Linked DNA regions of Arabidopsis thaliana. The protein of the gene in region 1 interacts with the protein of each later gene in a pairwise test. Each region holds a gene or a part of one and is shown on either strand. Other genes may lie near its edges.

The links.
Region 2: the proteins of AT3G12910 (region 1) and AT1G22810 interact in a two-hybrid assay, tested with the Arabidopsis thaliana proteins (one large-scale study listed by BioGRID).
Region 3: the proteins of AT3G12910 (region 1) and AT2G31220 interact in a two-hybrid assay, tested with the Arabidopsis thaliana proteins (one large-scale study listed by BioGRID).
Region 4: the proteins of AT3G12910 (region 1) and MAC5B interact in a two-hybrid assay, tested with the Arabidopsis thaliana proteins (one large-scale study listed by BioGRID).

Annotation. Positions count from the first base shown.
Region 1 is NC_003074.8:4,107,751-4,111,361, reverse strand, and holds AT3G12910 (NAC (No Apical Meristem) domain transcriptional regulator superfamily protein), read right to left. Parts: upstream 1,988-3,611; 5' UTR 1,946-1,987; coding exon 1,738-1,945; intron 1,544-1,737; coding exon 1,230-1,543; intron 1,104-1,229; coding exon 714-1,103; 3' UTR 513-713; downstream 1-512.
Region 2 is NC_003070.9:8,073,724-8,076,983, forward strand, and holds AT1G22810 (Integrase-type DNA-binding superfamily protein), read right to left. Parts: upstream 1,315-3,260; 5' UTR 1,247-1,314; coding exon 812-1,246; 3' UTR 508-811; downstream 1-507. Other genes in the region: AT1G22800 (S-adenosyl-L-methionine-dependent methyltransferases superfamily protein), read left to right, coding at 1-27, 203-316; AT1G22830 (Tetratricopeptide repeat (TPR)-like superfamily protein), read left to right, coding at 3,198-3,260.
Region 3 is NC_003071.7:13,300,807-13,305,408, reverse strand, and holds AT2G31220 (basic helix-loop-helix (bHLH) DNA-binding superfamily protein), read right to left. Parts: upstream 2,744-4,602; 5' UTR 2,657-2,743; intron 2,436-2,656; 5' UTR 2,396-2,435; coding exon 2,389-2,395; intron 2,337-2,388; exon of another isoform or gene 2,294-2,336; coding exon 1,476-2,293; intron 1,382-1,475; coding exon 932-1,381; intron 850-931; coding exon 748-849; 3' UTR 540-747; downstream 1-539.
Region 4 is NC_003071.7:12,650,083-12,654,878, reverse strand, and holds MAC5B (CCCH-type zinc fingerfamily protein with RNA-binding domain-containing protein), read right to left. Parts: upstream 3,054-4,796; 5' UTR 2,869-3,053; coding exon 2,764-2,868; intron 2,369-2,763; coding exon 2,099-2,368; intron 1,979-2,098; coding exon 1,755-1,978; intron 1,574-1,754; coding exon 721-1,573; 3' UTR 543-720; downstream 1-542. Other genes in the region: AT2G29590 (Thioesterase superfamily protein), read left to right, coding at 1-31, 134-277; PCNA2 (proliferating cell nuclear antigen 2), read left to right, coding at 3,281-3,599, 4,088-4,240, 4,324-4,421, 4,516-4,740.

The DNA.
Region 1 (3,611 bases):
AGTAAAATGATATCAGACTACTCGATTGCATGATTTGAAGTATAAAGCTTAACCTATCTACAATTTTCACGCCAATTCCAACTGTTTATTGAACCATATCCTAGTCATGTCTCGGGAACACCCAAAACCTCTGCAGTTTAATTCGATATATACTGACTCGATTGTAAACTGAGCTAATCGTCTCTTAAATTGACGAATTTACGAAATCTGGAGATAAAAGGAACATGAACAATCGTATTCATCATCCAAACTACAAACAGAATCTCGGCTCTTCGCTCTCAGAATTCGAAATTGGCAAGTAACTCTGCTTTCTCTCCAATGGTTCTCTCCAATATTTCTCTCATCCGTGACAAGACAAGAAGTTCCATCGTTTCATCTCCTCCACCTAATGGGCTTTGTTTCCTTTGTGGGCTTCTTAATGTTTTTTTAAACGCTTTTGTTACTTTATTAAAGATAACAAGACCACAAGTCCACTATTCGTCTAACCGAAAAACATAAAATAAGAGGGCTAATAAAACAAAATATGCAAATAGTTCCCGAGATTAAATTGACATTAATACATACTATATACGTGTGGATCAACCTGAGAATTCAAACAGGTGCATATTCATATACACACGATCCATGTATACAGTAGAGATCTGATGATACAACACGTCCAAGCTAGTAATATGTAATATGTATACATATTAGTTGTTAATTATTCTAGAGATCTAACTAAGAAAAGAAGGTGGGAAAGCAAATTCCACAACCGATCGAAGCTCGTCCGGCCAAGTCTCGTAGGTTTCATGGTGAATGTTATCGTTGGAGAAATGTTGAAACGAATCAACGTGTGTGGTGTCCATGAGAATTGGCTGGTTTTGATGTTGATAAGGCGTTTGCTGAAGCTGGAAAACGCTTCTCTCGTAGTTCCCTTTGCCTTCCCTAACGTTCATCACGTTGGTACTACTACTACTTTCATTGTCCCCAAAATTTATATAAGCTTCTTGGTAATTAGATTGTTGCTGCTTCACACGTTTGCCATTTGCTAATTCTCTCCAGTCCGGAGTGTATTTTCGACTAGACACAGTTCTCTTAAATATCCGGCATAACGTCCATACTTCCTGCAATTATATAGTTAATAAGAACCATCCATGAGCATTCTTTCTCAAACCCTATGTATTTTTGCCATGTGAAGCGTTTATAGTGGCCAACCATGCATGATCATGATCAAGAGATAGCAAACTTACCGCGTGTAGCAAGGAAGTTGGAGTAGGGTTAGAGTGTGTAGGGCCACCGGGGATTGTGTCATTGGCTGTAGGGAGACGAAACTCGTGCATCATCCAATCCGTCTTGTTTCCTTTCCCGGCGCTTCCTAGGTAATAAACGAGTGTCTTCTTTAGACCGATCACGGCTTTGTTGGATCCATCGGAATAGACAGGCTTGTCTATCCCTGTGGCTTTCCAGAAACCGGAACCAGTCACTCGGTTCGGTCTTATGCTGTTTCTGTATTTCCTTCCTCTCTTACAAAAGAAGTAGCTCTCCTTCTCTGTATTCCTCGACCCTTCAAACAAAAATTATGTTTGATCATCAGTTTATAACAATAATTTATGTGTTAATTTTACTTCACAAACATGCATACACGACTTTACTTTTGTTTTTCTCATAAAAGTTAGACCTAATTTTTTTTCTATTTGTGTTTGCATGGTTTGGAGTGCAAAAAACAGAAAAAAGCAAGAGTGAGTAAAACAAACTTACTTGGAAGATCCCACGGATCAAATTTATAGATATCAATTTGGCTGACGATCTCATCAATCTTGCTCGTTTTTTTGAGAAGCACTTTTTTAGAGAGATAATACCCTACAAGCTCCTCATCCGTCGGATGAAACCTAAACCCTGGAAGCTTTAACGCATCCTCATCTTCTGATTCTCTTGTGTTGTCCCGTGGTTCTATCATCTTCTCCATGGCTTTGGTTTCTATTTCTTCCTTTTTGCTCTTTGGACTCACATATAAGAATCTTCTTGAGATTTATATAAAGAGAGTTTGTGTCGTGTGTCTATCTATCATAAGATCGATTTGGTCAAGTCATTTCTGTTGACTTAGTGATCCTTTGTAATCAATGATATATCCGACCCGGTAAAAGTCTTTTGGGCTTGAGTTTTTAGAACGAGTCTTTTCGCATCTATACGTGGACCCAATAAATATGACGCTTTTACCTTTCGCATTATTAGGACGCAAGGAAAACGCTAAGGAGAGGACTGACTTTTTGACACACAAAAATTTAATTTTTGTGTGTTCTCTTCCAAAATGTCTGACGAGTATTCATTGTTACAACATTAACTTCTTCTAGACCCATCATTAATTGTTTGCATATTATATTCTTGACCACCACAAAACATCTACTAATCATCATGACGTTAAACGCATAAATCCGACTTTGTGCTCGTAAAGGTAAGATTTGTATTGCTTCGTTTGGAGATTTTAACTTGGAGTCTTGGAGAGATCAACAAACTAAAAAGAAAAAATATGAATATTGTTACATTTTTTATTTTTCTATTTGGTAATTTCTCCGAAATTGACAATGACAGATCCACCAAATAAAAACCGAATATTACCTGTCAGTTCCTTTCTCACTTCTCCAAAATATTTTACTGGTTATTGTAGTTATTAGTTAAGCTTGGTTTTTGAACTTGAAAGTAATTGGTCTTAATTTAAACTCGTCTCTTGTCCCTTTATTTTAATATCGTTGCAACTGATAACTACAGCTACGGGATGGTTCATAAACCGTCGTTAGTAGCCAACCAATCCCCAGAAGCTTATTAATTCCAAATTATATCTAGATCCAATTAATAATACTGAAACTCATTAACAAACCATACTTTCAAAGATCGGCATATCGGATTTCTTCGTTTATGTTGATCTTACATCTTCATTCGGATTGATATCTCAACAATTAATTATTTTACGTACATATATATCCATTATATATCATAAATTAAAATTATTTCCAAACTACTTCTCTCTGGACAATGAAGCTTATCTTCCACCATCTCACTGGACGACCTTACATTTTTGTAATGCCTTACTTTTTTCTGAAGAATGCAACATGACTTACTATACCACATTTTTTTCTTTTTTAAATATGAGAAAAATCATATTTAATCCGGTGGTAATTGTTGTAACACTATTTGCAAAATCCACGAGGCGAAATTTCGATCAGAGGAGCGTGCTTAAAGCTGTGGAAATATGCTGTCTATTTAAAAGTAGTGGAAATACTAATACTTATAATTATTGTCACCATAATTACCTATTATATTCAGAAACCACAATTTCCACTGCACTGAAAGAGTCTCTCCCATTAATACACTGCTCATTGTCAAAACTCACTCTACGAAAAAACGTTATTCAAGTAATGTTGGTTCTGACTTTTTTGTCCAAATCTTTACCACTTTTTTAGATAAGCTTTTGGTAAAAGTACCCGGTACAAATAGCACAACGAGTAAAATATTTTAAATAAAATCTAAAAGTCACTGATTTCGAATGGTATTTAGAAGAAAATCATACATAATATTTTAATCCTCAATATGATAAAGATGTACATGTCTAGAACTAGAAAATTTATTTTTATTTT
Region 2 (3,260 bases), on another chromosome or scaffold:
GACGGCACTATACCCGCTACTTTTCAGGTCTGTCCATAATAGTTCAGAACTAACTCAACAGTGAAAAAAACCCATAACCTAGCTTCATTATTCAAGTTGTTTTGCTACAATCCATGATTAAAACAATTTTATGCTAAATACTACAAGTGAAATTAACAACATTTGAGGCCTAAAGTATATATCGTTTGGCATTCTTGTGTAGGTGATTTACATGACAGGATGGAGAGAACATTCGTCTCACCCGCAGGCCAAACGAAGAGGTTCAGCCACCGTATCCTTCACGGATCTCCAAAAGCAATTTGGCGGACAATCTTGATGGAATGATTGAAGAAGAGAAACATTCAATAAGCAGAGACTTTACAAATGACACTTGAGAGAGAAATCAGTGACTTAAGCTATAAGGTACTTGGAGGAACTCTTGTAGATTTGTCGGAGTCTTTCACTGGGCGAAAGCATCACAATTAGGACGCCTGCTTTCGCCCATGTATTTCGTATCGAATAATAGCTGATCAGAAACATATTTGTATTTTACAAAAATATTACGAATACTTAAAAATCTCAATCTTCAATCACGAAACATGATCTCGCGCTAGGTTTCTTGAATAGATTTGTATACAATGGACCAAACTTCACTAAATCAGTGAAACAAACATTAATCAAAACCTTATAATGTATATTCACAACCATTTGATTGTTTCTCTGTGGTACCTAATCTTGTTTTGAGTAAGATTTTAGCACCACACCTGTTTTGATTATGGTACAAAATCTTACTCAAAAGAAGATCAAACGTGATCATGACCGTCGAGATAAATCAAACGTGATCGTGGCCGCCCAGATAATCATACACTGAAATATTCAACGGCTCCACTTGATCAGCTCCATTCTCGTAATACGTCGTCGTATCTCCGCATCCAGAGTTCACGCTGGTACTGTGGACGATTCCGGCGTCAATGGCCATGCCGGCGTTAGAAGCAGCTTGCTGGATAGATCTCGGAGAAGTTCTGGAAACGAGTGAAGGATTAAGCAAATGAGGGAAATTGAGAGATTCTAAAGAATCAGGTTGGTGTAAACAGAAGAAAGCAACGTCGTGTGCTACGGCGGCACCTTCTGCTGTTGAGAATGAACCTAACCAGAGACGGTCACGAGTTCCCGGAACTCTAATCTCTGATACCCATTTGCCCCATTTCCGACGACGGATTCCTTTGTACTTTGACTGACTTTCACCGGTGGATTCTCTGTAATCCATTTTTTGTTGTTGTATGATGATCGATGTGAAGAAGAAGAAGAAGAAGAAGAGACTTTTGAGTGTTGTTTATGTTTGAATATGAAGATACAAAGACTATTTATACGTTGAAGTTTAGTGAAAGTCAAAATATTATATAATATTTTTTAATATGAATCAAGAATGAGAATGAAGTTGACCAATTATAAAACTAGTTAATTCTCGAGGAAAAAATCAACTGGTCAAAGTATGACCCATTTTTTTAGTGGTACCAATTTGACATGTGCCTGACTAGTCGATTTTTTTTTCTTTCAAGTTGTAACTTTTTTTTTTGCTGTGTCTAACAGTAAATTCAATGTATTTAGAAAGTAAGAGTCATTTCTATAAAACAAGTGGTATATATACCGTTCTGTTTGGTTTCAAAATAAATGATATTTTTTGTTTTTTTAAAATAGAAAATTAATCTTTATTTTTTGTTGTTGTTGCTTTGGTATATCATAGTTAGGTTACCTTAATTTATAGGTTTTTCATTTTTTTTTATATGAAAAAGTCTTAAGTCGAAATCTAGAATTTTATACTACTATATATCCTCTATTTCGTTTCATAAAAATCTGTAAAATAGGTGATGACATAATAGTATAGAGAAAAGCAGTGAAAAACACAAAAGTCGATTCAAACTCCACCGATGAAGAATGTGAAAACGTCGTCGTCGATGGTTAAACCACGTGGGATAAAGAAAGACTTTCTTTGCCTTTTTTGGTTACAAATTGCGTCATGCGTGACATGAGCACCGTCTAAAGGGGGTCCTTTATTTTTGGCATTTGACCAAAGATCTGTAATGACTTAATGATTCTCCACGGACAACACACAGACACAACAGCCCAAACTAACTGGAAAAAGTTATTTTTTGTCTTCTTCTGTGTCTGCTGACTCATGTACATGGTTGTCAAATTTTAGTTCACACACAACCACATCCAAAACACGAATCATCCACGGAGAAACCCAGTCTCATAATGTATTTAATGTGTTTTCATCCTTCGGATGCATAACCAATTCTTTGTAGTTGATACTTGATTAGGTTTTTCTCGACACTGACATTTGGGAGTTGATTGTGATGTGATACACCGTCTTATCATAGTCACCGACTCATTTAGAAGAAACCTCAAAGGTAACTTGGTAAGTTACGATTAGAGATGTTTTTAGAAACGTCTAGCAGATTATTGATATCTGACAATAAATATTCACACCTACTCGGTTGGTCTATGCGATTTTAGACAATTTAAATGTTTATAAAAACCCTAGTGTATCAGTATATATAAAATCAATATTAATGAAATAATGCAATTAATAAATTACTTATTATAAGTTCTTATAAAAAAAATACTAGTGACCTCATTTTGTAATATCAAAAACTGGTGCCAACTTCATCTAACACGATTTATTTAACCTTGGTAATATTTTGAAAAAACCATAAATTTATAAAGTTGTTACAGTCAGATTTTAGTGGGCTAAAATGGGTTACAATTGCAATGGGTCTGGAAGTGGACAAATCTAAACAAGCGGCCCAAATCATCTGAGCACATGCCAGAACATTGAATAAATGTCAAAAAGGAGTCTCTTTCTACATAACCTTCACGCGCGGCTACTCCTACTTTCGCTTCGTCCGGTTCCGTCGATACTGTCTCCGAATCACTGTCTTCTTTCCTTTTTCTTCCTACATGACATCTGTCTTATCTCTTTTATGTTTCTCTAGATGTACTTATACTTCCATGTTTCGTCTGTATACGGTATGTTTCGCTCACCACATGTTCGATGAAATTCCTCAACGAAACTTTTTTTTTATCTTTCTCACCTTTCTTCCTTTGACTTTCAGACGGAGAAGCAAAATTGCTTGAACTTTCGCTTTGATGGATCAAACTAGTCTTGGAACAATAATCAAAATCCATTCGTTGCCATCATATGCAGCTTACTGTATATGCCGTCTTCTCCTTCTCGCTCTATACTCAGAGGTCTCACTGTATCCGAAATTTGCAAGTTT
Region 3 (4,602 bases), on another chromosome or scaffold:
TACACGTCATAAGCTTTTCACAGACATACTTTATTTTAAATGTGAAAATAGACTTCAAAACAAAAAAATACACATGAACGTGTTCGAAATAGGGAATAAGCAAAAAGGGTGACAGACAACGAGCAAAGACAAGAGCGTTGAGACAAAATCACATCCTTGTTTTTTTGTTTTAGATCTAAAACAAATTAACATTCACTAATTGATAGTACATTTTTTGTTTTGTCAAAGCCTAATTGATAGTACACATTATTAAATAAAAGCTTAAACACGTAATTCAACGGTAAATGAAAAATCGTAAAAAGAACCAGATTAAAATTGGCTCATTGTAAAAAGAACCACTGAAAATGTAAGCAAGTTTCTTAATTTCTAGTTAGAAAACCAGAATCGATAAAGAAGCAATGGTTTATAAATTCCGGACTGATGATTATTCTCAAACTTTTCAAACGACACGGCCCACTGGCCCATTAAGAGCAATATGAAACGTAAGGTAAATATGAGCAAGAGCATTTGTTAAAAAAAAAAACGCAAGAGATTAAAATGTGGTCGAAAAACGAAACCGATAAAGCTAGAAGAAATATATAGAGTTAGACAAAATCCAGACAAAGAGCCTCAGCTCTAGCTCTAACTTTAACTCTAGCTAAATAAACTTGAAAATTACCAAAGTGATTAATAACTTAATCAGTCATTAGAGGGGTATCACAAAAGTTATTAAAAAGCAATAAACTACTCCATAAGTGTGTCTGGAATCTAGTAGCCGTTGCTAGGAACAGCTTCCATGTACTGCTTCTCCACGACCTCCATCAATGTGTCTGCAATTCCACTTGCATACACACAAGATCCTTCACAAATCTGCCTCAAACCAAATTGAAAAAGATTAGTTTATTGGTTTGGAGTTAATAACAGAACTATATTAGTGAGACATTTTCATTACCTTAGTGTTGAACAAGAAGCTGTAATGTTCACCAATCTGTCCACCTGCAACATGGTGAAGATCTAGCTGAAGCTGATCAAGAACTTTGGTGGTGAACAACAAACAGTTAATCTTCTTCTTCTGAACAAGCTTGATGGTTACTTCATCATCGATTATACGTACATCGACCTCAGTGACTTTCGATTTCCTCTTAAGCCATGAACATCTCAGTGAGTTGTTGTTGTTCTTGTTGAAGCAAGACTGGTCTACTTCGCTCTGTGGCTTGTAATTCACAGTGTCTTCTTCTTCTTCTTGATCTTCTCCTCCTCCTCCTTCACCAACTCTAGCTCTCTTCTTGCTCCTGAATCTCCCACATCTCTTCTTCTCCACAAGCATCTTAAACTCCTCTATTGTCCTTAAAAGCTCTTTGATGTAATCTATCGCCTCTCCAACTATCGATGCTCTATCAATCTACAGAGATTAAACCAACAATGTCTCTCATTTCATAGTCTCCTCATACACATTAACAACATGAATTGAAATCAAAGCAAAGTAAAGTATATACCTTTGTGGGATTTGGAATGAGGTTCTTTAAGTCGAAGAAACGATCATTGAAGTGAACTCGTCTCTCACGTTCTGTAGGGGAAGTTCTCGACTTTCTTGATCCTCTTCCTTTACGAGTAACTCCATTGTTAAACTCAAGAATCTCATTCTCAAATCCACCATTGTTGTTGTTTGCTCCTTCAAAGTACAAAACATTCATTCCTCCATTAGCATCCATCTGAATTTGATCTTCAACTCCAAGTAAACAAGAGCCGTTTCTTAGCTGGTTCTGATCTCTAGGCTGCATAGGGAAATTCAAATGGAAGAGAGGGTCGTACATAACAGCAGCAGCAGAAGAAGAAGACATAATGTCTGAGAAAGAGGTAGGTAGCATAGAGGAAGGATGATGATTAGGAGGCAATGAGCATCTAGGCAAGTGTAAGAGACTAAGCAAATCAGGAGTTGTTGCAGAGTTAGGTCCCAAATTCACAAAATCCTGATACCCATTATCCCAATTAGAGTGTTGTTGTTGATGTGAAGCCATTTGGTGAATCAAATTGTTGTGGAGTTGATCACAAGGAGGAGGTGGTGGAGGAGGAGGATTGATGTGAAACTGGAGAGGTGTTGAAGAAGCTTGAGGACAATCTTGTGGGCTGAGATGGAATTCAGAGAGCTCTTCTACCTCAACACTGCAGTTGCTGTTGCTTGTGCTTCCGGCAACCAGAACTTGCGGTGGTGGTGGTGGTGGTTCGGCTTGAGAGAAGCTACTCTCCACCGTAACTTCTGCTGGAGTGTTGGGATCGAAACAACCCATTTCCTCGTAAAGGCTTTCTCTTTCTTCTGCGTTTGTAACTCAAACACTAATTTAGATCTTCCAGAACGAAAAAGGTAGCAACTTTCATGAGAAATTAGACCAAATAATGAAATTTTGTTACCTTCCATGGAAATGGTTCAACGAGTACTCTAGATGATTCTTTAACACCTGCAAATCAAAAGTAACATTCAACAATCTTTAAGAAGAAGAAAAACCAAAAATTTGAAACTAATTTCAAAAAAAGTTAGCTCTTTTATAATTTTGGAAACGAAACCATAGAAATGTTTGTTAGGATCCAAAAGATTAAACATTGGGTTAAGGGTTTGAATTTGACAATAGATAGAAAGAGATGTAAGATAATGAGTAATCAGAGCTGGGAAAATTAGAACCTTTGTTACAATTAATTCTTCTCTACGTCTGTCTTCTCAATTTTCAGGAGAAGAAGTAAGTTTTTTAAACAAGAGTCTCTCTCTCCCTCTCTGTGTTTGAAATATACGGACATTTGTAGATGGAGACACACAATACAATAAGGGTAAAAAGATGGCAAAGTTAAATTATTGGATAACATGTATATTCTAGGTGTCTAATTTAAACGAAAATGTTGTATATAATCCATTAAGCTATGTTTCTAATCCAACTTTGATGCATGATTTATTAAGGTTTTGATTTGTTACATGGTTTGTGAAATTACTTCTTGTTTATAGTCATTTTTTAAATCATTTTCTATGCAACTTATTTTTTGATTAATCATTTCAAATGTTGAAACCTGATTACCAAATACCAATATGATCCTAAACATATCTTTTAACACTTAACCAGTTGTAAGAAAATTAGCATTGTATATATTTCTTTTACGTTATAAGCTCACTTTTAAGAAAATATAAATTGGGTTTTTTTTGGGGGCTGTTTTGGTTGGAGCATGTGATTTATCATTGTGGCCAAACATAAAGGTTGGTTAGAAGAATCAACAGATGGGTCCCTTGCCGAATCTCTCAGGTCTTTTCAACGACTTTAGGGGTATTTCCGTCATTATCAGCAAATACGATCTTCTCTCTGACCAATATGATATGGGCTCCACTAACTCACACCGACAAACCAAGTAGCCCCGTTTGCTCTTTCCCATTTCTACCCTTTTCCTTTCATTTTAGTAAAATTTGGATAAAAATATCCCAAATACAAAATTGTAATTGATAAAAGTATTTTAACGCGAAACTATTTTCTTGTCTTAGATGTATGTTTTACTTCTATAATTAATCTCATGTTTAATATGTGTTATGTTTATGCAATCGTATTTTATTATATACTCGAATTGAAAAAACTCTTCGACTTAATACAAGAACCAAAAATACTAATGCACGGTTTAAATGGATATGTTTTGTATATAAAAAGTGTTCAGTTTTAATTTATGGATGATTAACTACCTTATCATCAACAATCATGGAATTATTTATCACATCATCTAGTTTGATTCATCTATACGTTGTACATGGCATTGATAAAACTTATGTATGTATATCATAGTTAAATAGAAGTATAAATACTTAAACCCCTGGGTTTTCTAATTTTATAAGTAAACTGTGTTCAACAACTAAACCATCATAGAATAGTTTCTATCTCAAACACTTCCTGTAATGTATATCGACAACTCACTTAATTAATCTAATTTAACACTTCCTTTCTTTGTGTATAATCGATAACATAAAATGATAAAATAAAAATTCATCCATAAGAAAAATATTTAGATACTTGAAGAGATGTATAATAGAGAATCTGGTAAAAAAATAACATGGACTGTATTGAATATAAATAATTCATTTCATTCATATATGTTTATATTTCAATCTTTTCTATTAAATTTTTCTAAATAAATAACAATTTTGGATCAAACTAATTGTATAAGTTTCCTTGTTGAGCGGTTGGGTCATGCGATTTCTGTTTATAGCAAAGAGAGCGGGTTGTTTGAGAAGTAGTGGAAGTAGGTCCCACATCCAAGAATGGGATAATAATATACTTTATATTTGATTTAGTAAAAAAAAGAATTAGGGTTATTCTTGAAATTCGACAGAAACTGAAAAAATTCTGGTCACCTACCTCTCTCGTACACGGTACACTGCGACTGTCCCCATCCTAACTAAACAGTACAAACTCTGATTACTCAGAAAATGTTAAAATGTATTGCCGGACCAAACCAACGATTTGGTTTTTGATATATTAAAAATGTAGTGCCGCTTGATTCGGTCCATACATAGCCAATAGTTTCAGAAAAGGGGTTGGGTTGGATTCATTTAGGTAATGAATCGTATCATTTTTATTTTATTTGACGGTTGCACTACAG
Region 4 (4,796 bases), on another chromosome or scaffold:
TATTGCATTCCTTTCAAAAGCTAAGCTTGGTGTAAGTCTGCTCAAGTCTTTTTTCAATCTGTACTTTGGGACTGTTTGTTTGCTATAGAAATGGATTGAGAGATATGATATTGAAATGGAAATGAATTTTCAGGAGGAGTTGGAGATAACGTCGAGATTGTTAGGAGAGAGAGGAGGTTATAAAGGAACAATCGTTGTAGTCAGAAACAAGATGACCGGGGAGATTATAGCGGAAGGTCGACATTCTATGTTTGGTAGACAAGCTAGTAAGCTCTGAGTCCAACTTTTAAGTCTTGTATCACTGTAATGTCTGTTTTCAATAATAAGATTATGGTTAGGTAAATTTGGTTAGGTCCTTTGTTCTTTCTGGTTGTGAATCTAAAACCTTGGTACATAGCTTATAAAGATCAAACCATTCAGTAACTGTGATAGTTATGTTGATGAGGATGGTATGATATGTCTCATCTATACAACATTGAAAGCTGTTTAAAGAGGAATTTGAAGAAGCTTCAAGAGAATTTTGTTGTCTATGGTTTCAGCTTGGATTTAATGTGTATGTTGGATTATCAAAAATTCAAAATTATAATGTCAACAAGAGTCTACAACTACTGTAACAATTCTCTTCTCTTACATTGGAAACTAATTTTAAATAGCAGAAGCAAAAAGTCAAAATGTAGATATGGCCGGAAATTCGCACTACATTTTAACTGACAACGGTTCCTATTGAGACGAACCAGTAGTAACAGCAGCATCAGCAGATTGCTGAGAGGATCCTGAAGGTGCTGCAGACACAGAGTCAGGTGGTGGAGCAGAGACTGAACTTGGATGTGGAGGATTAGGCCTTGAACCGGGACCTGGTTGTTGTGGGTAATCATGATCAGCTTGTTGTGAATGGCCATGGTGGTAAGGAGGATACTGCTGGTAAGGTGGTTGCATATATCCTCCATATGATGGTGGCGGGTATGGCTGGTGCTGAGGATAGTGGCCATGTGGTGGCATAGTGTAAGAAGAAGAAGAAGCTCCTCTGTTGTCACTGGTGCTTGAACCGCTTTCTTTGGACGAACTAACTGCACCCATTCTCTGAGGGTCCATTGATGGGTAAAATGGTCTGTCTTGATGAGGAGGTTGTGGTGGTGGTGGGTGCATATAGTATTGTAGCATTGGTGGAGGTTGATTCTGTTGCTGAGATATAACTGCTCGAGGTAGTAAACCACTATGAGCCACACTGCCCTGTTGGTTAGAACCATCTTGATCAGGTTTGGGAACCTGAGGTCTTCCCCATGTGAGTTTTAGCCTCTGACCGTTGACAACTAGCCTGTTACTGAGCTCTTCTGCAGCTTTCTCTGCTCCTTCTCGGGTTGTGTAAGTGACAAACGCACATGCTTTCTCAGCCAAGATTCTGATGGATTCGATTTCTCCATGGGCGTAGAATTGATCACGAATGTCTTGCTCAAGGACTCTCGAGTTTAGCCCACCAACATAAAGCGTTCTGATGCTTTGATCCTCTGGAGATTCCAAAGTACCCATCTCCCCAGCCTTGCCAAGTAACTTCAACGCAACTGGATCGTTTACACTGCAGGAAGTGAAGAATAAGATGAGAAAACAGTTCCAATATCACCAAAATAACAGCCAGTTTACGCACACAAACTGATGTATTTTTCATAACTCTCTTTCATGATATACCAAAGCAAGAAATTGAGGAGTAACTCAATATTATCATACTCAAACAAAATGAAAGTTAGAAGTATGCTTACCCATAATAACGGTCTTTAATGTTCTGCTGGGATAACTCTCCTGTTTCAGGCATCTCATGACGGTATGGACACTCATCACCTCTTGTACACTCTCCCCTAATGAAGAAACTACAAATATGAGCTCGGTTCCTTTTGTAGTAAGGCGTTGTCCTTTGAAGCATACGAATGGTATCGTTGGGCCGAATCTTCCCAAAAGAAGACTCATAATCTAGTCCAGCTCTCGTCTACACAAGAAAACAAAACCATTTCAATAGGCCATTACAAAGTAGAGAAACTGTATAGCCAAATCTCAAACCAATCAATACTCAAATAATATAACTAGTTAGAACGCAGAGTCACCATACCTTTCGATCATGCTCTTCAGCGAAAAACTCTCGGTTCACATCACTTTTTGGGATAGAATCATGAGTACTAATGTTGAGCGCCGTGTCTCTGACCTGAACTGGAAGACCATACTCAAGATCCAAGAGACAAACTTGGCACACATTCTTCAACTTGCAACATGTCTGACAAACTTCAGTCTTCTTGTATCTCGCATCCCTACCAGGTCGCCATCTGAAAACCGTGAAAGGCCGGGTACAGATCTTACACTCTTTATCGTAATTCGCCTTTGTCTACATACCAAACAACAACAATAAATCAATCAATCAATCAAACATGAAGCTGCACATCACTACCAGACATAACATGAGACAGTATTCAATGAATTACATTCCCTCTAAGCAAATTTGATCAGAACAAACCAAAGATATCATTTTGAACTACAACTCCATGAATTCTGATTTTTACCAAAGGTTATGAATTGTATATTAAATCGCTTAAACCCTAAAATCTCAAATCACTAAAATTGCAGCTTCAACACTAAGAAACATAAAAGCATTAAACAAGCTCGAAAATGGACAAATGAAAGGAGATCTTAATAAAGACACATGAATGTTAAAAAAAAATCTAGCTAAAGGCAAGGAAATCGAATTTGTTTGAGGAGAAACATAGGAAGCGAAGAATATACCATTCTCACGTAAGGATTGTCACCGAGACAAGACTCACAGATGATTGGGAAATCAGAACGTTCCCATCCATCAGCCTCGTGATCTCTCAGTATTCTATGCGCCATTTCCTAATTCTCTTCCTTCCTCAATGATTTCTGGATTTCTTCTTCAGTCTCGAACACGAAGATTACCTTGAAGAGCAGATTTGCTCTCGTTTCGATTTTTTCGGGAATCTTTAATATTACAGCTGCTGTTGGGCCGAATGTTTGTTTGGCCCAATTTAAACCCATGAAATAAGAAAGCTTAAAGTGATGGTGGTGTACTGAAATAAACAATACGGACTCACACAGATGATAATTCATCGTCACACACAGGCGGGAACAAAAATACCCTAAAATCGCTAAATGGCGCCACAAAATCTCAGCTTATAATATCACTTCCCGCTAACAATTGCAATCTCCTCCCAGAAATTTCAACAGCTCTAAAAACCCTAACCGTTTCGATTCACACTCTAACCTTTCGATAATTTCCCAGAAGATGTTGGAGCTTCGTTTAGTTCAAGGTTCTCTACTGAAGAAGGTTCTAGAAGCGGTCAAAGATCTGGTGAACGATGCGAACTTCGACTGTTCGACCACAGGGTTCTCGCTTCAAGCTATGGATTCGAGCCATGTCGCGTTGGTGTCTCTTTTGCTTAGATCTGAAGGTTTCGAGCACTATAGATGCGATAGGAACCTCTCTATGGGAATGAATCTTGGTAATATGTCTAAGATGCTGAAATGTGCTGGAAATGATGATATCATCACCATCAAAGCTGATGATGGTAGCGACACTGTTACTTTCATGTTTGAGAGTCCCAGTAAGTTCTTCAAATCGATTTTTGTTTGTTAGGGCTTTGGTTTTGTTGTCAATGTTGATGCTATTGGTGACCTGATTCTGTGTTTATAGGTTTGATTTGCCAGAAGCTAGAATATGATTGTAGAGAATGATTCAGTCCATTTCTTGAAAGCTTTAGTTTGTAAGAGATGAAAGAGAAGATAAAATCTATGTTAATAGAGGGTTTTTGGTTTGGAATAAGGTTTGATATGGCTTTGTTTTTGTGTAGTTAATGATGTTATTAGTGATCTGAACTGTTATTTATAGGTTTCATTTGACAGAAACTAGAACTTGCTTGATGAGAATGAGTCCTTCCATTTTTGTTTTCAGAATAGGTATAGTCTCTAGCTTAAAGACTATAGTTTGAAAGTGAATAGAGTTTCTTGATTTAGTGAAAGTTAACAGAGGAACTTTGTTTGATATTGACTATGTGGTGTTAATCTCATTATTTAAATGGTGTTGATGATGCAGCACAAGACAAGATTGCAGATTTTGAGATGAAGCTGATGGATATCGACAGTGAGCATTTAGGAATTCCTGATGCTGAGTACCACTCGATTGTGAGAATGCCTTCTGGTGAATTTTCCAGGATATGCAAAGATCTCAGTAGCATTGGTGACACAGGTAAATGAACTGTTTGTTTATTTGGTGTATCACTGCGAGGATTCTCTAATCATGATTCTGGTTTTGATGTTATGATTTTGCAGTTGTGATCTCGGTAACAAAAGAAGGGGTGAAGTTTTCAACAGCAGGTGATATCGGGACAGCAAACATTGTGCTCAGGCAGAATACTACCGTCGACAAAGTATGAACAATCACTAGTCATCTAGAGAGATTTGTTTAATAATCTGTCCAATACAATGTTGAAGTGACCTTATGTTTGTATGTGTGTTTTGCAGCCTGAAGATGCTATTGTGATAGAGATGAACGAGCCTGTTTCGCTTTCATTTGCATTGAGGTACATGAACTCCTTCACAAAGGCTACTCCATTGTCGGAAACTGTGACCATCAGTTTGTCCTCTGAGTTACCGGTCGTGGTGGAGTACAAGGTGGCTGAGATGGGTTACATTCGATACTATCTGGCGCCTAAGATTGAAGAAGAAGAAGACACCAAACCAGAATAATGATGAATGTTTGATAGTCTTCGTTCGAGTCCTTTGTTGAAATGTCTGTCTTGATT